Linked DNA regions of Caenorhabditis elegans. The protein of the gene in region 3 purifies or fractionates together with the protein of the main gene of each other region. This does not show direct contact. Each region holds a gene or a part of one and is shown on either strand. Other genes may lie near its edges.

The links.
Region 1: the proteins of prp-40 (region 3) and snr-6 fractionate together in Caenorhabditis elegans (co-fractionation; one large-scale study listed by BioGRID). This does not show direct contact.
Region 2: the proteins of prp-40 (region 3) and prp-3 fractionate together in Caenorhabditis elegans (co-fractionation; one large-scale study listed by BioGRID). This does not show direct contact.

Annotation. Positions count from the first base shown.
Region 1 is NC_003281.10:12,425,453-12,433,038, forward strand, and holds snr-6 (putative small nuclear ribonucleoprotein E), read right to left. Parts: upstream 4,178-7,586; 5' UTR 4,163-4,177; coding exon 4,107-4,162; intron 4,060-4,106; coding exon 3,843-4,059; 3' UTR 3,720-3,842; downstream 1-3,719. Other genes in the region: pie-1 (Pharynx and intestine in excess protein 1), read left to right, coding at 1,441-1,725, 1,779-1,886, 1,930-2,055, 3,091-3,179, 3,236-3,635; Y49E10.16 (Fungal lipase-type domain-containing protein), read left to right, coding at 5,068-5,150, 5,428-5,482, 5,584-5,705, 5,750-5,814, 6,187-6,301, 6,772-7,158. UniProt on the Caenorhabditis elegans protein: Plays a role in pre-mRNA splicing as a core component of the spliceosomal U1, U2, U4 and U5 small nuclear ribonucleoproteins (snRNPs), the building blocks of the spliceosome.
Region 2 is NC_003281.10:10,423,026-10,431,642, forward strand, and holds prp-3 (U4/U6 small nuclear ribonucleoprotein Prp3), read right to left. Parts: upstream 4,958-8,617; coding exon 4,898-4,957; intron 4,729-4,897; coding exon 3,791-4,728; intron 2,944-3,790; coding exon 2,494-2,943; intron 2,048-2,493; coding exon 1,804-2,047; intron 1,370-1,803; coding exon 1,196-1,369; 3' UTR 1,088-1,195; downstream 1-1,087. Other genes in the region: M03C11.6 (BBS2_C domain-containing protein), read right to left, coding at 124-216, 262-395, 814-966; smrd-1 (SWI/SNF-related matrix-associated actin-dependent regulator of chromatin subfamily A containing DEAD/H box 1 homolog), read right to left, coding at 5,800-6,038, 6,803-7,557, 8,381-8,617.
Region 3 is NC_003281.10:9,515,249-9,523,865, reverse strand, and holds the start of prp-40 (WW domain-containing protein ZK1098.1), read right to left. Parts: upstream 1,792-8,617; 5' UTR 1,791-1,791; coding exon 1,709-1,790; intron 1,634-1,708; coding exon 1,365-1,633; intron 1,319-1,364; coding exon 1,189-1,318; intron 1,142-1,188; coding exon 759-1,141; intron 746-758; exon of another isoform or gene 705-745; coding exon of another isoform or gene 521-704; intron 468-520; coding exon of another isoform or gene 354-467; intron 304-353; coding exon of another isoform or gene 200-303; exon of another isoform or gene 194-199; intron 1-193. Other genes in the region: mrps-23 (Small ribosomal subunit protein mS23), read left to right, coding at 200-303, 354-467, 521-704; clu-1 (Clustered mitochondria protein homolog), read left to right, coding at 2,406-2,532, 2,578-2,645, 2,691-4,437, 4,489-5,567, 5,676-5,756, 5,885-6,355, 6,404-6,574; F55H2.7 (uncharacterized protein), read left to right, coding at 7,619-7,702, 7,748-7,939, 7,990-8,043, 8,333-8,617.

The DNA.
Region 1 (7,586 bases), 2.9 Mb from region 3:
TGAAATTAGTATTTCTCGGAGTTTTAGGCATTTTCAGTTACTTTTTAATAAAGATTTTGCATTTTTCTTGTATATTTCTTTCATTTTCCGATTAAAAAACCCCAAAAATGAAGAAAATCAGTGAAATAATGAAAATTAATTCAAATAACTAATGAAAATAATGCAAGCGCGCTCCAACCAACGAGTTCAATTGGCGGTAATTCAAATATAATTAGGTGAAAACTGAGATTTTTTCAATTTTCAAAAAATCATATAACATCTAGACAATTTTTTTGAATTTTTTTATCATGATATTCGGTCATTGTGTCCCCATAGGCATGTTTTAAAGCAATTTCCACCTTTAAATAAAATCGAGAAAAAATGGCGTCAAAAGACATATGTAAAAGCTGTTTCTCTTTGTATATTCACACAGAATATAGCCCGATTTTGGAGGTGAAAAACCGGTTTTTTTGTATTCTTTACGCCACATAAAGTGATATGGAAGAGAAAATCGACATATTTATGTACTTGGAGTACGAGTACATTGGAGAAAAAGGGTGAACTACTGGAAAATCTGGGAAATTTCAGAAAAAAATTCCGAAAAATCTTTTTTGCTGAAAAAAAAATTTGTTCGAAATTTGGGAAATACTGGAAAATTTTCATCAAAATTAAAGCGATTTTTAACGTTTTTGCTTGGGAGATACTATTTGTAATTTTAATGTTTGGTGAGGACAACAGAAATGACCTTCAGCGTACGGAAAACGATTAAAAGACACATTTGAATCGAAAATAGCGTGAAAAACATGAAAATATCGGAAAAATAGCTTTAAAATTGGATTTGAAAGCAAAAAATGTATCAAAAATCGAGAAAAATGCTTGAAAAAGTTGAAAAACTCAAACAAAAAATCAAAAAAGGTTTTTTTAAAAATCTGTGAGTATCGCAACGAAAGCACAACTTGAGGCATGCGCCTTTAAACCAACCGTAACCAAATTCGGAGGCAAAAAAAGATTTCTCGCTGTTTTTTCAGTTTTAAAATCACTTTTCACGTTTCTTTTCGCAGTAATTCGTTTGCAAAACATCTGAAAAAATTTTATTTTATAAGAAATTATATAAAAATCGCTATAAATTGAGTTTTTGCCCCCAAATTCAGCACGGAGCACTTCTCAATTAAATATAATTTTATTTTTTAACATTGAAAGCTTTCATAAAATTGAGCTTTGTTTGTAAATAATCAGTGAAAAAACACAGAAATCTTCAAAAAATAAAGAAAAAGTTTTTAAAAATCTGTGAGTCCCGCAACGAAAATAAAACTTTAGGCATGCGCCTTTAAACCAACCGTAACCAAATTCGGCGGCAAAAATGGATTTCTCGCCGTTTTTTCAGTTTTACAATCACTTTTTAGGTTTCTTTTTGCAGTATTTCGTTTCCCAAACAATTAAAAATCAAATTTTCTTTTCCAGATGGCTCAAACAAAGCCGATTGCCGAGCAAATGGCTGCACTCAACAACTCAGATGACACGTCGTTCGCTGCCGATCGATCGAACAGTCTTCTGAATGCGACGTGCCCGGCGAGAATTCAAAATTCAGTAGATCAACGGAAAATCAATCGATCATTCAATGATTCGCTGTCGTCCGGATATAGTGGAAAATGGCTTCGTCCAAAGCGTGAAGCGCTCAAGATCACTCCATTGGCTCAGATTGACGAGGCGCCGGCAACTAAAAGACATAGCTCGGCGAAGGATAAGGTTTTGATTTAAAAAAAAAACTGAAAAATATGCAAAATCGATTTTTTTTCCAGCACACAGAATACAAAACGCGACTTTGTGATGCGTTCCGCCGTGAAGGATACTGCCCGTACAACGACAATTGCACATATGCTCACGGACAAGATGAGCTGAGAGTTCCGGTGTGTCTGAAGCCTGGAAATCTTTGGAAAATTTTTTTTTCAGAGACGCCGCCAAGAGTATTATTCCCGAGATCCACCACGTGAGCGCCGTGATTCTCGTTCTAGACGAGACGACGTGGATACAACAATCAATCGATCGAGTTCTTCAGCATCGAAGCATCATGATGAGGTGCTGATCGGATGGAAATTCGCTTTTTTGACAAATTTTCGCAGTTTTTTCGCTAAATTTCATTTAAAATATGCTTATTAACACATTATATCACTATTTAGACGAATATCTTGTAGAAATGTTGGGTTTTGTTCGAATTTTCTCTACTTTTTGAGTTGCTTCACGAAGAAATTGTGTTCTCTTTCATTGTACAGAAGAATCTATGTTTTACAAGGGAAAAAAGTAAGATGGTGCAACATTTTCTCGTGAATCGACTCTAAAAGTAGAGAATTATCGAACAAAACCAACATTTCTACAAGATATTCGCCTAAGTACTGATATTATGTGATAATAAATGAAATTTAGCGAGAAAATACTGCGAAAACGCCTTTTCAGACCCAAAACCGCCTAAATTTCTCGAATTTTCAGGGCTAAATCATTTTAAAACTCCAATTTCGCTCAATTTTCCGTGTCGAGACGGTCCGAAGTTGATTTTCTGGAATTATCATCCTTGTTTTGCATCTTTTAGTAGTTTATCTCAAATTTTTCCCGCCTGCAGACAGATTATGTGAGATAAACTACCAAAATGTGCATTAAATTATGATAATTCCAAAAAAAGTCAACTTTCGGCCGATGCGGCACGAAAAATTGCCAAAATTCGAGGTTTTTAGCTAAAATTATCAAAACTTTGGACAAAAATCATCCATTGCGCAGCGAATTTTTGGGGTTATACGTTCAAAATGTTTATTTTAAAATGAAATTTAACGAGAAAATATAATATACTGCGAAAACGGCTTCTCAGACCAAAAATCGCCCAAAACTCGAATTTTCAGGGCTAAATTGGCTAAAAGTCTTCATTTTTGGCAAGTTCTCCGTGTGGCGACGGAAAAAAAGCCAATTTCTGGCAAAATTGAAGATTTTCAGCTAAAATTAACCCTGTTTTTCAAAATTTTGAACAAAAATCGTCAATTTCAGCGAATTTTTGAGGTTTTACGTTGCAAAAATCCTTATTTTTAAGTGAAATTTAGGGAAAATATTACAATATTTTACTTCCAGAATCGGAGACCCAGCAACAACCACGGAAGCTCGAATCGTCGTCAGATTTGTCACAATTTCGAGAGAGGAAACTGCAGATATGGTCCAAGGTTCTAGGAAATCTGGAATTTTTATTAAAAATAAATAAAATAAATTTTCCTTTCAGATGCCGCTTCATTCACGTCGAACAAATGCAACATTTCAATGCGAATGCGACGGTTTACGCGCCACCTTCTTCCGATTGTCCGCCGCCGATTGCCTACTACCATCATCATCCACAACATCAGCAACAATTCCTGCCATTTCCAATGCCATATTTCTTGGCTCCACCGCCGCAAGCTCAACAAGGAGCTCCTTTTCCAGTGCAATATATTCCACAGCAACATGATTTGATGAATAGCCAGCCAATGTATGCACCAATGGCACCGACATACTACTATCAACCAATTAATTCGAATGGCATGCCCATGATGGATGTGACTATTGATCCGAATGCCACGGGCGGTGCGTTTGAAGTGTTCCCCGATGGATTCTTCTCTCAGCCACCACCAACTATTATTTCCTAATTTTGCCGTATTTTCCATATTTTGTTTTGTATATTTATCCACTCACCCCCTCTCTTTGTCCTGTGAATGAACTTGTGCCAAAAAAGCCAAAAATAATTTACTTTTTTTAAAGACATATTAAAACTTGAAAACTTGGAACAATACGGTGCGAAAGCGAAACAGAGACAGAAAAATGAACAAAGAGATCCGTGAAAAGTGAACGATGATTTAGGCTTCTTGTTGGGCGGCGTGGATGAGAGTGATGTTGTCTCCTTTGAGAAGAATTCTGCCGATCTTGTTGCGTCCCTTCGTCTTCATGTTCACCTCCTCGGCTTCGTCGAACACGACATTCATGAACTCGTCGAATCCGATGATGTAGCCCTCGAGACGGTGGGTGACATCCTCGTACAACCAGATTTGGACCCGAGTGCGGTTTTGGAGATATCTGAAATTTGGGAAATTGTTTTCTACTGATTAGTGAAAAAATATTACCTGAAGATGAGGTTCACAGGCTGAACCATCACTTTGTTGAGCTTTCTCGTCGACATTTTTGCGGGATGATCTGTAAAAATCAATATATTTTTTGAAAGACACAAATTTTTAAGATAAATATCAAGAAAACTCGATTTTAGCAGCTATTTAAGCTCAAAAACTACAATTTATGGCTTTAAAACATAATTTTTCACATTTTACATAAATTTCAACGAAAAAAAATGCCAAAAAACTTCAAATTTGAGCAGAAATCGGCTATTTTCTCGACAAAAATAATTTCGAAAATTCGTTCAAAAAAGATGAGTACGCAAGCACCGTGACGCACAGTTGCGGACTTTGTAAACCGTACCCCTGCATAAAAAGGCGGAATTTTGAATTTAATAAAATGCAGTTTAGAACAAAGAAAAGCACGGAGAGAATTGTGATAACTAATTATTTGTATTTAATTTTAAATACTACATAAAACTGAAGATTGGAACGAGTTAAAGCTGGTATTTGCGGTTTATAGCCCCAAAAGTTAAGGCTTGTTAGGCAATTATCGATAAAAACAACGAGAAATTCGTGAAATCGGCAAAAATTTATAGAAAACGTTTGAATTAAATTAAATTTACGCTTTTGCCGCCAACACCTATCGAGACCCTAGTTATAGGGGCGGAGCGTCATGGGAGCGCGCTTGCAACTCGATTTCAAAAAGTTTCGCTGTTTGTACAACATTCTCAGTTGTTCTTAATCAGTTAAATAAGTTTCAAAATTTTCAAAATCATAAAACACAGTTAATGCTAAATTAAAGTCTAAAAAATCAGGTGATAAGGGGTTTGGACGACCAAAAAGCGACCTTCGCTCGAAAATTGATAAACTAACTACACTTTTTCCGGAAAAATGATGGAAAAATCCTGATTTTCTTCGTTGAATCAATTTTTGTTTCATTTTTAACACTTTCACATGAAATATTTCAGTTAAAATGCTCAAGCTAATTGGGTTTCTTATAATTTTGGGTCTCGCAACGGCCGACAAGTGCTCAGATTGTTTGGCTCAGGGGAAACAGTGAGTTGGAAGCTTACAATTCTGAGAATTCGTATTGCGCAGCTTATTTGACGCGCAAAATATGAAATATCACGTAGCGAAAACTACAGTAATTCTTTAAATAAGACTACTGTAGTGCCTATGTCGATTTACTGCCTCAACTTTCTTAATCAAGCTCGTAAATCGACACCAGCTCTACAGTAGTCATAGTTTTCGCTACGAGATATTTTGCGCGTCAAATATGGTGTGCAATACGCATTTTCAGAATTTTATGTTCTCGTAATATACCTTTTTTCAGCTGGTGTGTTACTGTAAATGCATGTGGATTTACGCCATGTGTCACTACAATTACAGTGAGTTTTTTTGAAGAAAAAAAAATTACCCATTTGATCGCCAATTCCATTTTTCAAAAATCAATAAAAAAAAAAAATTTCGGCGATCAGAAACGTTACAGAAAGCCCTAAACTGCCCGGAACTACCAGATAAAGCCCACGCTTACGATGATTCATTTATGAGGAATAAGGTATTGATCACACATTCTGCTGCCTACAATATGGACCCACAAAAGTGTTTTACGTAGGTTCACCTTCTAGATAAACCTTAAAAATCGATACTTTCAGTAGTAAAATGCCTTCGATGAAAGTTTCCAAAACAGTTAATGTCAATTGTGATAGATATGGGCCAAGTGAGTTGTTTTATTAGCCCACGGATTTCTGGCTTCCCTCATAAATTGAAAAGGAAGAGATTGCCGAACTAGACCATTTTGGCTCGGCGCGTTGCGTGTCACGTCGCGGCTCGATTGTAAAACTAAATGTATTGGTCCGTGTGGAGTACACGACTTTCCCTTTCCGGCAGGCGATTGTCAATGGAGCGCGAAAAATTCAATGAGGAAGGCCAGAACCCCGTGTCTGTAGTTTTCTCAAAAAGTGGCAAAAACTCAATAATTGCCAATTTTTGACTGCCAATAAAAATTTCACTAAATTTATTAAATTTATTTTAAGTTTTATTGAAATTTTTTTAAAATTTCCCCACTGGCGCTAAAAAATCCAATTTTCAGAAGCAATGTGCTTCAGCTTCACGGCCATAGATACTGTCCAAAAAGTGATTGCAATGACGTTTAGAGGGACAGAAGGAGCAGCTCAATTGTCTGAAGAAATTTTGGATTTCTTCCAGTAAGTTCGGGAAATGGCAATTTAAAGTTTAATTGGATTTTTGTATTTTTTCTTCTCACGACTACAGTTTTGCACATTTTTATGTTATAAAAAACCAAAAAAAAATTTTTTTGCCTTTTTTCTCAGCTTACCACAAAACAATTTCGACCAAAAATAAATTGAAAAAATTAAAAAATTTTTTGCACGGTTTTCGGACTCAAAAAAAGCTGAATGTTCCTGGAACTATTTGTAAAATTCAAAATTCAAAATTTTCACGAATTCTCTAAAAGGTTCCAGCAAATTCCACAACTTTCTTGAATTTTTCAAAAAAGTTCTTGAGCATTCAACAATTATTTTTGGAATTTTCCAAAGGTTACAGGACGTTCCAATTTTTCAAAAAAATTTCTCGCAAAAAATGTTTTCTCAGAAAATTTGAATTTCCCTCCACATAAAAGATTGTTCTCAAAAAATTTGCAAACACACATTTTCAGCGGAAAAAAGGCGTTCTTCGACTCTGGAAGTGTATTCGAATATTTCTACGATGCCTTCCTATTCCAATGGAATGGAGGTCTTCAACAAGATCTTCGAAAACTCAAATACCAATACCCTGACTATGAAATCTGGGTTACTGGACACTCGATGGGTGGTGCCATCGCCTCAATCGCAGCTTCTTATATTGTGAAAATCGGGATTTTCACCCCGGATAAAATCAAATTAGTGACACTGGGACAGCCAAGAACCGGAGATTATGCGTTTGCCACGTGGCACGACGCAACGTTCCCGTATTCATTCCGTATTGTTCATCATAGAGATATTGCTGCACATATTCCACCAATGGAGGGACAGGACGAGCTTTTCCATCATAGAACTGAAGTTTGGTTAGTGGTTTTGAATTGGTGGTGACCAGGGATGTCGCCAAAAAAATGTTGGACATAATTAAATTCTCCAATCTTCTGAATTTTTTTCCCTCTCCCAACACAGCGGTTTTTGCTACGTGGCCTAGAAAAAAACATAAACTCTGCCAATGATATATCATAAATTGAAATGGAAGAGTTTGCCGAACTAGGCCATATCTGGGGTAGATTTACGGCGCGTTGCGTGTCGCGTCGCGGCTCGATTTTAGTTGTAAAATTAAATGTATTTGTCCGTGTGGAGTACACGACTTTCCCTGTCCGGCAGACGATAGCCAATAGAGCGCAAAAACTGCAATTAGGATGGCCAGAAGCCCGTGACAGAGCGGTTTTCGCTACGTGGCCTAAAAAAAGCATAAACTCGGTCAATTTTTTATCTTTGATGTTCCACGGCG
Region 2 (8,617 bases), 910 kb from region 3:
AATTTTTTTTTTTTTTCGTTTTTTCTGAAAATTTTAGAAAATTTTTCGGGAATCTTCCCAGTATTTTTACAACTTTTAAAATAAATTTTCGAATTTTATTGTTCCCAAAAATTCCCCAATTACCTGATACTTTGCAGGATATTTGGAGAATGTGAATTTTCAAACAAAGTCCATCGAATCAATGTATTCGGAATGCCAATTGACGCCTGGATTGATCTGAAAATATCAATTTTTTAAATAGAAAATTAATTAATTAATTACAAAATATCAGTTTCCAATCGATTTTTGACTTCGAATCTGGTGATTACGTGGCGTTCGAAACGGGAAGAATCGATAAAATCAATGGAAAAAATCTGATTTTCAGTGATTGGAATCGATAATTCACAGTTAAGAGTCTGAAAGTTGAAAAAAATTAAAAAATGTTTTTTTTAATTGAATAAATATTACAAAGTCGTGAAAACCGACCACGTCCATTTTAAAGGCGCAGGCCATTTCTTCTGCTATATTGGGTCTCGCCACGATCTACACCAATTTATATTTACCACACGTGCCGAGACCCAGCTTTGGCGAAAAAAAATTAGTTGGTGTTTTCTTCCGGACGTGTAATAATAACCTTTTTTCGTAGAAAATTCTCAACAACTAGATTTTTTGGATATGTTTTTTTAAAATTTTAACCAATAAAGGGCATGGCTTCAGGCTAATTTTTGGCGGGGAATTTAAATTTCTCAGAAAACATTTTGGCGGGAATTTATCAATTTTTGAATCTTTTTGAATCTCCGTTAATTTTCAAATAAAAATCCTCATGTTCCGTACTTCTTTGATATATTGCCGTCGTTTTCTGCAATTTTCCATCTGCTTGGGATCTGTGACCACCCGTAGTGACTCCTCTAAAATCGCCCGTTTTGCCTTGATTTGCGCCTCCATCACTCGAATCGCCTCCTCAATTTTCTCGTCGACTTCTTCCATATTTTGCGGGGGTTTCTAAACAGAGAAATCTGTGGGAAATAAATATAAAAATTACGGGAAAATATGCAAAATGGGTCTAAATTACAACAAAAAGTGTTAAAATTCTAAAAAAATCTTTTTAAAATAAAATAATGTTCATTTACAGTCCCTTGGCTCAGGGCTCTCCGGGCTCCAATAACAAAAAAAAAATATTTAGAAAAACGAATTAAAATTTTCCAGAGATGTGTATTTAAGCAGTCGGTAGAATGTCTTGTCCCTCCAAAAGAACGGTGGTACTGTAACAGAGATCCCAGTATTGTGCAACTCCGTGCTTTTCGAAAAACTCGCGAGCCTGCTTCTCAAGTGTAGCCGTGTGAACGGTGAAATCACGGAAATTTCGACGCTTCACTTGTCCTTCCCAGATCTGGAAAATTTTTAATTTTTTTAACTTTCAAAATATTTTTGAAAAAAGATTTTCAGCTAAAATCTACTTTAAAAAATTGTTTTCGAAATTTCATTTTTTTTAATTTTTAATTTTGAAAATTCCACAATTTTCATAAATTTCGCGATTTTTCTACTTGGTTTTCGGTGAAAAAAAATTTATTAAAAAAAGGATTTTCTAAAGAAATTTCCAGCTAAACAAACTTCCTAAATTGAAATTTTAATTTTTTCAACTCAATTTTCAGTTTTTTTATTTGATTTGTTTTCAAAATTCTATAAAATGTATACTTTTTTAAGTTTTAATATTAAAAATTTCATGAAAAATTTCCACAAAATTTATTCAAAAATCCTGTAAAAATTTAGAATAATTTTCCTATTTTCTACAAGTTAAATCAAAAATTTCCTAATTTTTTTTACCATTTCACATAGATTTCTTTCTCCGGGAGCATCTTTTTCAGCGTCTTTCTTTTGTCCAATAATCTCATCAGACCACTTGATTCGATTAATCATCAGATTTTTATAGAATTTCTGTTGTTTTGGACCACCTTCCACAACAATCACATTTTGAGCTTTATGCATCATAATTGCTCCACTCATTTGTAATTGTTTCGCATTTGTCTCCACTTTGAACTTTTTCGACGGATGGGCCAGTGATTTTACTCTGCAAAAAAAATTAAATTTTTGCTTTACAGACGTTTTTTTTTGGATTTTTTTGGCATAAAATTCTATAAAAATTGTGAAAAAAAATGAAATAATTTTTTTTCCAATTTCTAGACTTTTTCATTTTCATCACATAATTTAGGAAAAAAACGAATTTCCTCAAAATTCGAATTTTCGATTTTTTAAAAATCCTTTTAAATATTAATTTCGAGTTTTCAATTTAATATTTCAAAATGTTTTTAAATATTAATCAGTAATTGTAAAATAGTTTAAGTAAAATAAAATAGTATTTGAAAAAAAGTTTTAAAAACTCCAAAATTTCCAATTTTTGAAGAAACTAAAAAATAAATTGTTTAATATTTTTGGAGAGAAATTAAAATTTTCTATGAAATTTTAATGCGGGAATTTCAAATTTTTCGTGAAAAAAATTGTTCGACGTAAAATTACCTATAAACCGAAACATTAACCGCCGTCGACGTATCCTCAGACAGTTTTTTCGTCTTTTTCGCGCGTTTCTGATCTTCGGTAAGCTTTCTCTCAGCATTCAATGTCTCATGTTTCTTCAATCTTTCAGCCATTTGTTTCCGAACTTGTGCTTCCATTTTCGTCGGATCCTGGATTGCTTCATTTCCAAGAACTCTCATTAAATTACTAATTTTGACTTTTGGCTCCGGAGCCTTTTCCAGTCCCAAACGAATCTTCTCTGTCTTCTCTTTCAGTACTTCCTTACGATTTTGACGACGAATCTTCTTTTTTTCTTTTGTTGTCAAGTATACTTTCAGATATTGTTGAGTTAATGGCTCAGTGGGTGCTCTCATTGAAATCGGGTGCTCTACGAGTTCGGAAACTGTCTGTGAGTATCTTTCCATGTCGTTTTCCGCAGGGATTTCGTCGTAGCTGCAAAAAATTTTATTTTTGAGGTTTTCTAAGTTAAAAATTGTTAATAAACTCTTGAAATAAATTAATTTTCTTTTTTTTTTTTGGTAAAAAAACGTCCAGAAAGGCGGCCAATTTTTGGAAATTATTTATTCAAAAATTGGAAAAAAAAAATCCAGTAAAAATTGAGTATTTTTCGCCACTTTTAACGAAAAAGCAAGAAAAAAATGGTAAAAATATAACTTGAAATTTGAAATTTCGAAAAAAAATTTTTATTTGTAGCTGCAGCTATAAAAAAACTTTTTGTGAAAAAAAATTTCAAGTTCAATTTTTACCTTTTTTTTGTTTTTTCGCTAATTTTGTAATTAAAATTTGCGCTTTTTGGCAAAAAAAAAAACTAAATTTTTGACACGAATTTTGTTCGCTATAAATTTCAAAAAACCCAAATTTTGGGGCTAATCTTCACAATTTCTTGCTCTGAACCAAGCTCTGAAGCAAAATATTTAAAATTTAATTATTTATATAAATTTACGCCGGGGTCGGCAAACCGGCAAACTGGCAAAATCGACAAACCGGCAATTGCCGTTCGACCAATTTTTTTTGTCGACAAATTCGAATCGGCAAATTGCGAGTTTACCGATTTGCCGGAAATTTTCAATTCCGGCAATTTGGCGATTTGCCGGAAATTTCAATTCCGGCAAATTGACAATTTGCCCATTTACCGGAATTTTTAAATTCCGACAATTTGCCGGAAAAATCGATTGCCGTTGACCCCTGCTTTACGTTCAATTTTTAAATAAAAGTAGCCTATTTTTTCCAATTTTTCGTTCCAAACCATCCCAAAAATCAAAAAAAAAAAAGTACTCACTTAACCTTATCCAACACCAACATATCCCACCACTCAATATCCGGTACCCCATTCTCCATTTTCGCCGTGCCCGTTGGTGTAACCATCGCAAGTTTCACAGCCGATGAGATTCCCGTCGATTGTGCAGCCGATGAGACCTCATTCTGAAGCCTTTCGAGCTTTGCCATTGCTCTTTGCTTATTCGCAAGTTTCTCGAATTCTCCCTTCTCATGGAAATTGAACCCCCGGCGACGTCGATCTGCAGTTCTCGCCTGAATCCGTGGATCCAGATACTCGATGAGTTTCTCCGGTTCTTTTGATTCTTTTGTGATCTGTTGTTGAACCTTCTTCTCTGCTTGCTGAACAGCTTCTGGCAATGGAGCCATCACTCCGGCTCCCGAATTTCCAACCATCGCATCAATCTTTGCCATTACTGTAGTTCTTGCGAGCCTCGCTTTCAACTCTTCCATTCGACTTTTCTTATCCATTGAATGTGTCATAAGCATTGTAGCTTCATCTCTTCCAAGCGATAAAGATTTTCCACCGGGAGCCACCATTTGTGTCTTTGCCTGAGCCAATGCGGCTTTTGGTTGAAGTGTTCCAGCTGCAATTGCCATTTTTCTCTTCGTCTCCTCAATCTCCTGCTGAGCCTTGTACATCATTTCCTTTGCTCGGAGTCGTTCTTCAATACTTTGCTCTGCAGGCTTTTGAGGTTCTGCTACTGCTGCTGGAACTGAAGCATCCGGCTTTCTCCGATCATCCGTCCGATCTCGTTTCCGATCACGATCCTCTCCGTCTCGATCTGTGCGAGTTCGTTTCCGTAGCTGTGGATAATGATCGCAAACGGCGGAGATCACTTTTCGCGCCTTTTGTGGGTCGGAGATTGCTTCTTGAACTCGATCCTTGAGCTTTTCGTAGTCATATCCTTTCTTCAGACATCTTTCGACTGCTTCGATTACCTGGAAATTTAAAATTATAGGATTTTTTTAGGTTTCGCCACGGAAATTTGAAATTTTTAGGTTCATAAAAAATTTTTAATTGAGCAAAAAACTCTCAGTAATAATTTGCCGGGAAATTCAAATGTTCAAATTCGGAATTCGATCAAAAATTTATTTCAAGATTACCAACCTTGTCCTGTTCCTTTTTTCTGCTCAAATACTGGTCGCAAATGTCCTCGAGCTTTCCCATCTGCAAAAATTTGATTTTTTTTTCAATGTAGAAGAGTGAAAATGGGAATTTTTAACTGGAAAAATACTTTTTCAATTAAAAATCACTAAAAATGTTAGTTTTTGAGCAAAAGAACAAAAAAAAATCAACATCTTCAATTTTGAAAAAATAAATACTAGTTTTCAGTTTTTAACCTGGAAATATGAGTTTTTAAACGAAAAAATAAAAAAAATACAGCTAACAATTTGATTTTTCCAGGAAAAATTGAAATTTTTCGGCTGAATTTTTAAAAATTAATATTAAAGCAAAAAATAGATAAAAATTGCGACAAAACGCATAAAATAAATAAAAATTGAAAAGTGCGAAAAAAATCACCATATTCATTGAATACACCAAAAAAGAAGCAATTTCCGTCTGAATAAGTTAAAAAATAAAATAAAAATTTTAAAATTAAGGTGCCAATAATTTTTCACAAAAAAAAACGGAATATGCAATACTGGACAGAAAACAATTGTTTTACAAAGAATATTTTGGGATAAAAATGATGAGATTTTTTTTGAAATGTAGGAATTACAGAAAAAAATATATATGGATGAAAATAAATATATAAAAATTGAAATTTTGAAAAAAGAAACAATTGAGAACCAACGTTTAAAGTGTTTTGCAGATGGGATGATGGATGGAGATCACTAGTAATTGAAATTTGGAAAAAAAAGTAAAATTAATGAAAATGGGGGTCAAAAACCTGGAAAAATTGGCTGAAAATCGATAAAATCTGACTAAATCCGATTTTGTCCCCGCTTTTCCGTGAATTTATGAGGATTTTGACCATTTTTGGGTGAAAATGAACGGGAAAAAAGTGATTAAGCAGATGTAGAAGGTTGAGATTCTTCCTCTTTTTGCTGCTCTTTTTCGACAGGCTCTTTCACAGCTTCATCTTCTTTTTTAGCTGCTTCTTCAGCATCAATTCCATTTTTCGAATCTCCAGAATCATCTTCCACGTCATCATATCGTCCACTGATCGCCGATGAAAGAAGTTTACTTAGATCACGGCCACCGCATTGTTCACCGCCTTCTTCTTCTTTCAGCTCACGGAGGGCGTCTGGAAAATTTTTATGTTATTTTTGATAAATTTTTGTTTAAAAAAATCGCATTTTTGACCGAAAAATCTCAAAATTTCAGCATTTTTTATGAATGGGAATTGAATTTTCTGGCAAAAAACGAAAATTTGCAATTATTTTAGTTTCAATAATTTAAAAAAAAAACGTAATTTTCAATGACAGAAATTTCAAAAATTTGAATTTAATCACATTTTTTTCCTGTAAAAAAATCAGAGTTCTTTGATTTTTTTTTTTGAATTTCTGGAATATTTGGACTTTTGAAAAGGTCGAATTTTCGAAATTTTCGGTAAATTTCGATTTCTTCTAACAAAAACTTAAAGTTTTCAATGAAATGTACTAAAATTTAAATTTTTTTGCTTTTTACGTAAAAATCGAGCATTTTTCGGGAAAAAATGTTGATTTTACCATTTTTGAAGAATTTTCTGACAGAAATTCAAAATTTTCACTGTAAAGTTTATCATAGATTATATAAACTTAAAAATTTGAACTTTCTACACGAAAAAAATGTTTGAAATTCTTAATTTTTAGGACAGTTTCTGAGAAATGGGGCATTTATCTGAAAAACGTTGCATTTTACAATATTTGAACAATTTTTTGACACAAATTTCGAATTTTCACTGAAAGCTTATAATAGTTTCGTTTAAAAATTTTGTAAAATTTCGAACTTTTTCGACCCAAAACATTGAAATTCTCAATCTCTAGGTCAAAACTGAGCGATTTCCAGCTTTTTCCACCAATTCTCTACCTTCATCCAACTGTCCCTTGACACCATCGGTAACCTGTTTCTCCAATTGCAACTTCTTCTTCGCCAACGCCAACATTCCAACTTCTACAGTACCCTTACTCACAAGCCGAGTGACATGCACAGGCTTTTCCTGTCCCATACGATGACATCTGTCCTCTGCCTGTTTATCGTTATACGGGTTGAAATCAATATCATGAATGATGATATGATTAGCCGATGTGAGATTAATTCCAAGTCCACCGGCTCTTGTGGAGAGTAGGAATACGAATAGATCCTTTGAAAGATTGAATTCATTAATCATTTCCTGACGATCAAGTACAGGAGTCTGTCCGTCGAGTCTTTTATATGAATATCCACGAATATTGAGATAAACCTCTAGAATATCCAACATTGATGTAAACTGTGAGAATATTAACACTTTATCTCCTTTTTTCTGAATCTCGGGGAGCATCACATCCAACTGCTCACATTTCCCACTTTTCAGTGCAAGTTGCTCATTGAGCAGGAATTTACTCGTACATCGGAATCGTTCACACAGTTGATGGATCTTAATATCGGATAACCAGGCGAGATCTTCTGACACGTGCTGCCACTTCTTGTCAGCGTAGGCTTTTTCTCTGAGGCACAGCATTTTGGCTATCTTATCGAGTTTTTGATCAGTGTATTCGGAACGTCGGAGTAATGGATGATTGGCTGCTTGACGGAGACGCATTAGGGATCCGTATGAGTCGCCAGACTCTTCAGATTGTTGGAGTCTGGAAATATGGATTTTTTTGTTTTTTGGCATTTTTAAAATACTTTTTTTTTAAAGTTTTTTAAAGGTTTTTTAGAACCGAAAAACCGAAAAAAAAATTGTATTTGAAGTATTTAGGGAGAAGAAAAGATAGTATTAAACAAATTTTTTCAAAGAGAAAAAAAAACGTCAAGCTAAAATTGTTACAAATAATTGAATTTTCAATGTTTTTTTTTTTCATAAAAAGCAATAATTCTGAAATATTCCAACATTTTGGAATTTAAGTCAGTTTTTGCAGCAAAAAATTCAATTTGTATAGTAATGTTTTTCTGTAACTTTAAACAGGGTGAAGCTATACATTTTGCAAACTCAGCAAACTGAGATTTTAAATTTTAGTCAAACATATTTCGCTTTTTCGGTGATTTTTTTTAGAAAAAAATCGCTCAAAAAACTTTGAATTTTTTCAAAAATTCATGATATATACTGTTTTTGATGAGAAATAACAGAAATAAATATTTTTTATTAGAGAAATGACTTATAGAATAAATTATAAAAATTGAACTGGTTCCCCGAAAAATTTGAAGTGAAAAAATCTATAAACTTTTCAAGAATCTCTCGAGAAACTATAGCTTTTCCCATTTTTCAGAGGAAAAATTAAATTTCACAACTTGTGAAAAACTTAAATTAAAGTCGATATATTCTCGATAATTCAAAAGTACAAACTTTAGAAAAAGCTTTTAGATTTTTCTGAAAAAACTGAAAAATCGATTTTTTTCGTTGAAAATTTCAATTTTTTTTTAAATTTGATTCGTGTTATAGCAATTTTTAAAAAATCAAAAACTCACGCTTCAACAATATTATCATAGAGTTGCTTCTGCGGTTTCTTCATCTCCACCTCAATAATCTGTTCAGATTTCGACGGCAAACTTCCGAGCACTTGATTCTTAAGTCTTCTGAGAATATACGGTTGTAGGATTGCCTTGGCCTCTTCAATTCTATCCTGTTGATACAATGCCTTATTTTTCGTGTCAAGTGCTGGGCCGAGTTGTTTGAAATGTTGAAGAAGATGAGTAATATCTTCA
Region 3 (8,617 bases):
TATAAAAACTTTGCAAGCCGTGACTTTGCAGTCGTAAATATTCACAGAGAATAATCGCCCGCCGAAAACCGCGCCGCCGCCTTGCAAGGGGCGGAGTCGCCCCTCCCACCTTTCCGTGCGCAAATTCTTACTGCGTTTTCCGTTTTTAAAGTTAATTTCTTCTCTCCTTCTGCAAATTTCCAATCATTTTCAGGTCAAAATGGCTTCATTTATCACTCGTGCGGAACGTTCTGGTAATATTTTTTCGCGAGTCACTGGACTCATCCGTGCTGGTCAACTGAACTGGGCAGATCGTCCTTTGTGGTAAATTTTTACTCATTCAAGCGGATATCGTGATATAATTATCATTTCAGGTATGATGTGTACGTTTCATCTCCACCATTAACACCGCCAGATTGGAATGTAAAATTAGCAAAGTACGACGAACCAATTCGCTCTATTTTCTACGAGGAAGATGTTCTCAGAGCGTAAGTTTTGGTTATTTCAGGCGCTGACTATTTAAATTGTTTTCTCTATTCAGAAAGTTCTACAAGACATACAGAAGTACGGCTGGTATTCAAGTGGATAGCTCAAGAACAAGCGTCTCTCAGCAGTTCATCAACGAATATAAACTAGTCAAATCAGAAAATGCAGAGGCAACAGATGATCAGTTGTTCGAGATGACACAAAAACGTCTCAACGAGAATGGAATCGTTTTGAAATAAATGCTAAGTTATAGTTTGTAGTTGTTCATAAATTTGTTTTTCGTTTCAACTTACTCTTTCTTCTTTTCCTCTTTGAACTTTCCAAGCGTTAAATAATTGTTTCTTTTCTGAGACTTTGTTCAGAATTCTGAAACGAGGATCATTCTGGATCCATTTTACAGCCTGATCCCAATTGCAATTCGTTGTTATCTTTCCGTCATTATATTTGTCACGGAGCAGTTCACGGAATCGTTCTGACTGCCGTTTCTTCAATTCAACTTCATCGTTCACAGATTCTTCTTCTTTCTTTTCAGACGGAAGAGGTACATTTGGCATTGATGCGAGGGTAGCCTTCATGGCTTTGTCTAGATCGGATTCCGCCTTCTTTTGCTGAACAGCCGCTGCCAATGCGACAGTGTCCACAGTTGCAGCCTTTGCTGCTGGCTTCTGTTCTCCTTCTGAAATAAATAATTCAAATTGAAAGATTCTCTAGATAAAATCTTACTTGTAATTTCCTCTCCATCTGGTTTAACCCATTGCGTTTTCTTTGTAAGGGTATTATAATAATATGGTTTTCCGTCATCACTCATGAATTCTTTCCATTGACCTTGTTGTGGCTGTCCGCTAGTACTTCTCTGAAATCAGACTTCAAGAGCGCTGTAAACTATATTTTTCACTTACCTCGAGTGGAGTTTTTAAGACGTCTGGTTTTATCCATGACGTTTGTTTCGTTACACGATTATGATAATAAGGTGTACCCTTTTCATTCGTATGCACACTCCAATCAGATTCGACAGATGGGGATGAGTGGGATTCGTCTATGCCCATTCCAGGAGGTACCAGCATTGGTGAAGGCCTCGTCGGAGCTGCAACGTGCGGAGCAACTACAGAGTGGGTGGGCATTTGGAGGAGCGGAACTTGAGCGATAGATCCAACTGGTGGCATGCCAACTGAAAATGTTTGCATTAATATTAAATTATTTTATTAATTAATTGGCCAATTTTACAAATTTATGAAAAACTTGCATCTTTGGTTCAGGAGAACTTGTTGAATGTTAGCAGCCGCTACTAAATTGGGATTAAGAAATGAAAATCCATTGGGAAGCATTCTGAAAATTACTTGATTAAAAAGTGAAAACGAAAGAAACACCAAGGAAAATGTAGCATAAACAAAATTTGTGGAAAAATCGAAGAAAACTGAAACGCTGCGTGCCCCCTTTCGATGCAATCTATCGTCGGAAAATACGGTGGGGCGCACTTGCTTGCACCAGAAAAGCGCAATGAACGAGGATCGCGCCAACGTGATGATTGACGCATTCCTGGAGCAAAATTTTTACAATACACTTTGTTCCCAATTTCTCGTTTCCTATTGCATCAGATGTTTTTAATTTTTGATTCAGTGTCGGAAAATTAGAAAATGAGTATAAAAATAGGTGTTAATGATATTGCTTTCTGATATTTGTTCTCTGCTGCGCTCGTAAGTGCGATAGCATAGGATTTTTGTATATAATATCCTTTCCTTCTCCAAATCTGTAGTTTTTTTTAGTTCTTCTGCAACTTTCTCGGTACAAGTCTTCATGGCTGTTCCATTATCTATCCATTCGTTAATTGTGCTGTGCTCGCACAATTTTTCGAATTCCATGATTTGCGTCATAAATCCTTCATCGTTTAATATTTCGCTAATATAATTATGAAGATGAACTGATATTTAAATATTTTACAGATGACTTTGGGTTCCGAAACGAAAACTGATGTCGAAGTGCCGATCATCAATGGGAAGCACGAAATTCCTCAAGAGGAAAACGACTCAGGTCACTCGTCGATAAACACTCCAGACTCATCAGAACCAGGTGAGAAAAATCTAAAATTAGTTTTTTTTTATCCTTGAGTTTCAGATAAGCAAGTCGACAAGTTCGTGAAGATCACTATTCAACCATCTTGTGGAGACGCTTTCGAGCTACATGTCAGTTTTTTCTTTCCTGATTTTAGAATCCAGACATTTTTTCAGCTCAGCGACAATGAGTTGGTTCAAGAACTATACCAGACGCTGCTAGACCGTGAAGCTACTTGTCATAGAACTTGTTTCTCCTTGTATTTGAACGGAACAGCCGTAGACAACTACTCTGAAGTCCGTGCTATTCCGGGATTCGTTGATGGGTGCACCTTGAACGTGGTCGATGAGCCATACACCATTCGTGATGCTCGTCTCCACCTCCGCCAAGTCCGTGAATTACTCAAATTTGGACTTACTGAAGATCAGCACGAGCCCCCGTGTACCAATGATGCTCAATCATATTTGACAACAATCAATTTGCAACCAGAAGAAAAGAAAGAACCAAAACCTTCCGATATTCTTCCACCAGATCATGCTCTTCCAGGATGCAAAGAACGCTCCCTTGCTCATCTGCTTGTTCCACAACCAAAAGAGCTCATTGCCCTTAAAGATATCGCATTCTCTCCGTACAACCCTCCACCAGGACCTCGAAAGCTCAGAGGAGATGTCTTGTACATCGACATCACAACAGTTGAAAATCGCATCTACCATGTCACCTGTTGCACTAGAGGTTTTTATGTGAACAACTCACAAGATGGACGGTTCGATCCGACAGTATCGAATTCCAATAAGACTGTCTACCAAAGCGTCATTGAACTACTTCAAAATGTCAGTCCAGGATTCAAGAAAGTATATCCTCAAATTTTGAAGCGGCGTCAAGAAAAGACACTCGTTGAGCGACTTCCAACCAGTTACCCAGTTTCTTCATGGGTTGGAAATCCATTGAAAACTGATGGGTACATGAGTGACTCATTGAGAGCCATTGAATTGACAGAGCCGTTCCGGGTTGGATTTGAAGATCATATGCCAGGACTCCTTCGTGATTGGAATGAAGAGCTTCAGACTACTTTCGAGATGACCCGTAAATCCATTTCTGAGCGAGTAATCCGTGATCGAAGTTATTACAAAATTCATGCTGATTACGTAAATGCTGCTGCGAGAGGTGTTCAATCTATTCTTGATGGAAATATATTGGCTATAAACCCAGGAGAGGACAAGAAAACTCATATGTACATTTGGAACAATATCTTCTTCAGTCTCGGATTTGACGTCAGAGATCATTATAAGGAGCTTGGAGGAGACGCTGCTGCTTTTGCTGCTACATCGACCGATCTTCAAGGAGTGCGGGCATTTGCAACTCTTGATGATCCAAAACTCAACACTCTAGGAATGGCAATTTTCGATTATCGAGGATATCGTGTGACTGCACAATCCATCATACCAGGAATTTTGGAACGCGAGCAAGAACAATCTGTTGTGTATGGATCGATAGACTTTGGAAAAACTGTCGTCTCTGATGAAAAGTATCACGAACTGCTCGAGGATGCTGCTCACAAACTGAAAATGCTGCCTCACACCGTTATCAGCGAGAAAGACGGAGTTAAGGAAGAGTTGAAGCTTTATACAAGCTACGAAGCTAAGGGAATAATTGGAAACGATGGTAGAAAATACGTTTTGGACCTTCTTCGTTCAATGCCTCCAGATGTTCATTATCTCGATGACGCAGAGGTCTCTGAGGCCGCTAAAACACTGGGATATCCACGAAAATTCCCGCACAAGCTTTCGGCTCTCCGCCGTGAACTAATTGATGCGTTCTGTGAGTCTAGATTGGTCACTTTCATCCAGTTAACTGCAAAGAAGATCCGTGATCTGATTACCGAGTCAAAAGAGAAAAATGATGAAACTTTGATTAAGCAAGCAGGTAATCATTTCGTACAAAACTTTTCTTAATCAAATTATTTTTATTTTTCAGCCGAAGCAGAAACTGAACTATCACTACTCTTTATGGCCATCAGCGAAGATAAGGAGTTTGAAGCCAAAAACAAAGTCGTTCAAGATGCTATCAAGGAAGCTTGTGCAGTTGTTCATTCTATTTATGAAGATCGCTATGTTATGAAGTTCAATCCGGATTGTTTCTCATCAAATGTCAAACATGCACCAACAGAGAACCTTGAACGACAACGCCGTGTTGTTGTGGATGCCGCAGATTTCCTCCTTACCCAGAAGATTCCAGAGCTTGTTCAGAACTTGAAAGATTGCGTTGTGCAACCAATTGATGGAGATAATCTTGCTGACATTATGCACATCAATGGTATCAATATTCGCTATTTAGGAGAAATTGGAAAACGTCTTGAAAACAGCGTCTCATTTGCTCGTCCACTTGTTCTTTCGGATATCGTTGCTAGATCTGCAAAGCATGTCATCCGCAAGATCAATGTTCAAATTACTGCTGATCAACTCTCCGCAAGTACATCTCACATTCTCAACTGCCTATTCTCTGTAGTTTTGGATCCAAGCCCTATTGCTGCGAACGTTGCGAAGAAAGCCAATAAGAAGAACGGCAAGAAACGAGTTACATCTGCCTGGTCTTCGTTAACCACATCAGCACTTTGGAATAGTATCCGTGAAGATTCTGCCAGCTATTATGGATACCCGATTGAGGCCGACTCCCTTGAAAAGTTCACCGAATTGCATGATATCCAAAAAACTGCTCTTTTCCGCCGCATTTGCAAAGTCATGGGAGTTCAGCTCGTAGCAAGAGATTACCAATTGGATAACTCTACTGCAAAGAAAACATCAATTTTCGTTGAAGATGACATCATCAACTTCTTCCCAATCATCAAGCATCATGAACCATTCACTGCTGATGCTAAGAAAATGTTCATTCGTGGACAACAAGCGATGTCTATTGGTGCCTCCCGAGAAGCTTACGAGTGTATTGGCGAATCACTAAATCTCATGACACTTGTCTATGGTGTAATGCATCCAGATATGCCACAATGTTTGAGAGCTCTTGCAAGATTGTCCCACGTTCTTGGAGAAACTGGAGATGTAAGTGTCTTATCATTAGTTATTTTGGTTTTTAAAACAATTTAGCCGCATGAACACTGAATACATTGGAAATTGTAATATATAAAACCAATGCCGTATAATTTTCAGGCTTTGAACAACCAGCATAAGGCAGCGGTCATGAGCGAACGGTTGATTGGATTGGATGCAGGAAATACCATTATTGAATATGTAAGTACTATTAATAAAAAATCATCTGCATTAAATATGTTTTATCATCTTTGTTTTTCGATAAACTTGAAGAACAATGAGAACAAAATAAAGGGAATTTTTCTGCAATGACATTGAACATTTTTCAGATCAATTTGGCCCATTTCGCATTTGGAGCACTTCTCATTCCTGGATCTCTTCGTCCATTGTACCGTGCGAGATATCTCATGAATCTCGTATTTGGAGAGAAACATCCTGTAATGGCTCAAATTGATGCCAACATTGGACTCATTTTGTTCACTGTTCAAGAGTTCGACACAGCTTTGAAGTACTTGCAATCGGCTGATGCTATCACAAAAACTATTGGAGAACCGAGAAAGCTGAAGACTGGATTGATTTCCAATTTGATTGCCCGAACACATGCGGCTCGTGGAGATTTCCGAGCTGCTCTAGTTGCTGAAAAGGAAACATTCGCTATTTATTCCGAACTCTATGGACCAAATCACCCAAGAGTCAACGAATCGAGTGAATATCTTCGCACGCTTACTCAACAAGCTGTTACATTCCAAAAGAAAATGTTGAAACTTGACAATAGTACAAACATTACTGAATTGTTCCAGGTAATATTAAATTTTCACAATAGCAAAAAAATCGCAATATTTTTATAGGCTCAACCTCCAACAGTTACCTCTCTATTTGATACCTTAAACATCATCAACGGAATACTGATCATTGGTGTTCCTGGATTGTCTTCTCTCGGAAAACAGCAAAATGGGACGACTGAAGAGAGCAAGACTACAGATGTTGCTGCTCAGCTTGACAATGAGACTCTCGATTAGAATTGATTAGATATCACCCAATTTTTTGGAAGTTGTTTATCAAATTTCAAAAAATTTAGAATTACTTGTTCGTTGATTATTTTAGTTTTTAATAGTGTATAGCATATAGATCAGTTTTTGTTTCTTTTTGTTTTGTTTTTTTAGGTGTAGATATCAGTTTAGTAAATAACTTTTTTTTTGTTAGAAAACCGTGACCGCATTTTCGTTGCTTTTTTGAAATAATTATATGAGATAATTGCACCGTTTCTTTCTCTGATAACCAAAAACATTTGCTCAATTCCAAAAATCAGCCTGAAATTTTCAAATTTGCTCAGGAGCATTTCCCTCATTTCCCACAACTTAATCAATCACATGTTCCCGTTTTCATTGTCTTCTCCATCTATCTGTAACCCATTTCCTTCATACATGTTATGACTGTCGTTCTGACACGAGTGTCCATCGAAAAACTAATCATTTAAAAAATATACATCTCTGATAATCCGAGTACACTCCATCTTTTGTTACACTGATGCGTTTGTTCTCCTCGTTACCTGTTTTTTTGCCTTAGGATTCAAAGCCTTGTAGTTTAGTATGAATTTTCGTTTTTTTTTAAATTTTCCAATCAACTGTTATAAAATGTTTATTGTTTTGTTCTTTCTCCAATAATAAAATCTGAAAATCTATTTTTTGTTTCAGTTCTAAAATTTTCAGAAAACTTAAAGTTTCATTCTTTAAATATTTTGAAATATCTTGTGAACAAAAATATGAATTTGTTAATCAAGAGTATCGCTTTTTCCAATTTGTCAGAAAAAAAATATATAACTTCCATTATTTAAGAAAAAAAGTTGCAAAAACTGAAAATTGTGTCCATTTTATTTTTTTAGCAGTAGAAAATTATATTTTCTTGTTTTTGCATTTTTTTTGTTAAATGTTTTAAACCATAAAAAATTTTATCCGATTTTGTTCATGTTGATGAACAAAAAAATTATAAAAATGTAATTGTCCTCTAAAAATGAGAGACTTTAAAGCTTTTTCTCTCTTATAATTAAATTTGTTTTTCATAGAATGGCGAGTGATTGGAGACGACAATCAACGAGTAGAGGAATTCCGAATGAGGGACAAAATGATGAAAAAGGAAAACCGCTCATTGTGAGAGAATATTTAAAGTAAAAAAAACAAAATTATGAATTTCAGGGAAGATCATTTCTGCTCGAAATTGAAAATCGTATTCTACGAACAAACGTGGCAGAAGGATTACATATTTCTGGTGCTACAATAATTGATTCATTTGATGATGCTTCCCCACAATGTGTCATCTCCGATCACCCGATGGCTCAAAAATTAGAAAAAGCAAAGAAAGATGACCCTCTTTTTAAAAATGAAAAGGTACACTTTTACTGGTAAAATTAAAAATAAATAAATTAATCAAATTTCAGATGCTCAAAATAATGCCCGCACTTCTTCGACAAGCAGTGAACAGAAATATTAAAGTAAGAAAATCGCCAAAAAACCCAAAAAAATTAAAAATTTGGTTGACAAATTTGAAAATTACTGTTCTTTCAGAAATTAACAGCAAAAAATTATATAAATTAAGTGGGCAAACAAATTTCTCAAAAAAATGGAATAAGACAAGTTGTTTGATGAGACATATTGGAAATAACGCTTTTTTTCAAAAAAAAAAAATCATAAAATAAAATGTTCAATTTTTAGCAACTAAAAAACTAAATTTTGAAATTTTTCGACTTCCCCCTAATTCTTTAAATTTTCCAATATTTTCAGGTCAGAACACCGGAAAGATTTTTAAATCAAATGAATACATGGCTGGATCGCCAAGGAAAAACGACATCAGCAACTACATCAAATAGTACAATTCGTGGAAAACCATCATTCGGCCGGGAGAATAGTGCAAAAATTGAACGAACGACTCCGAGACTTGTGCCAAGAATGCCACGTGTCAGCAGTGATCAGACGTCGAGTCGGCCGAAGGAAGAACGATGTTTTCTAAGAATTGATGTTCCTGGAAAAAGACCAGAAATTCGGAATGTCTCGAAAGAATCATTTTCA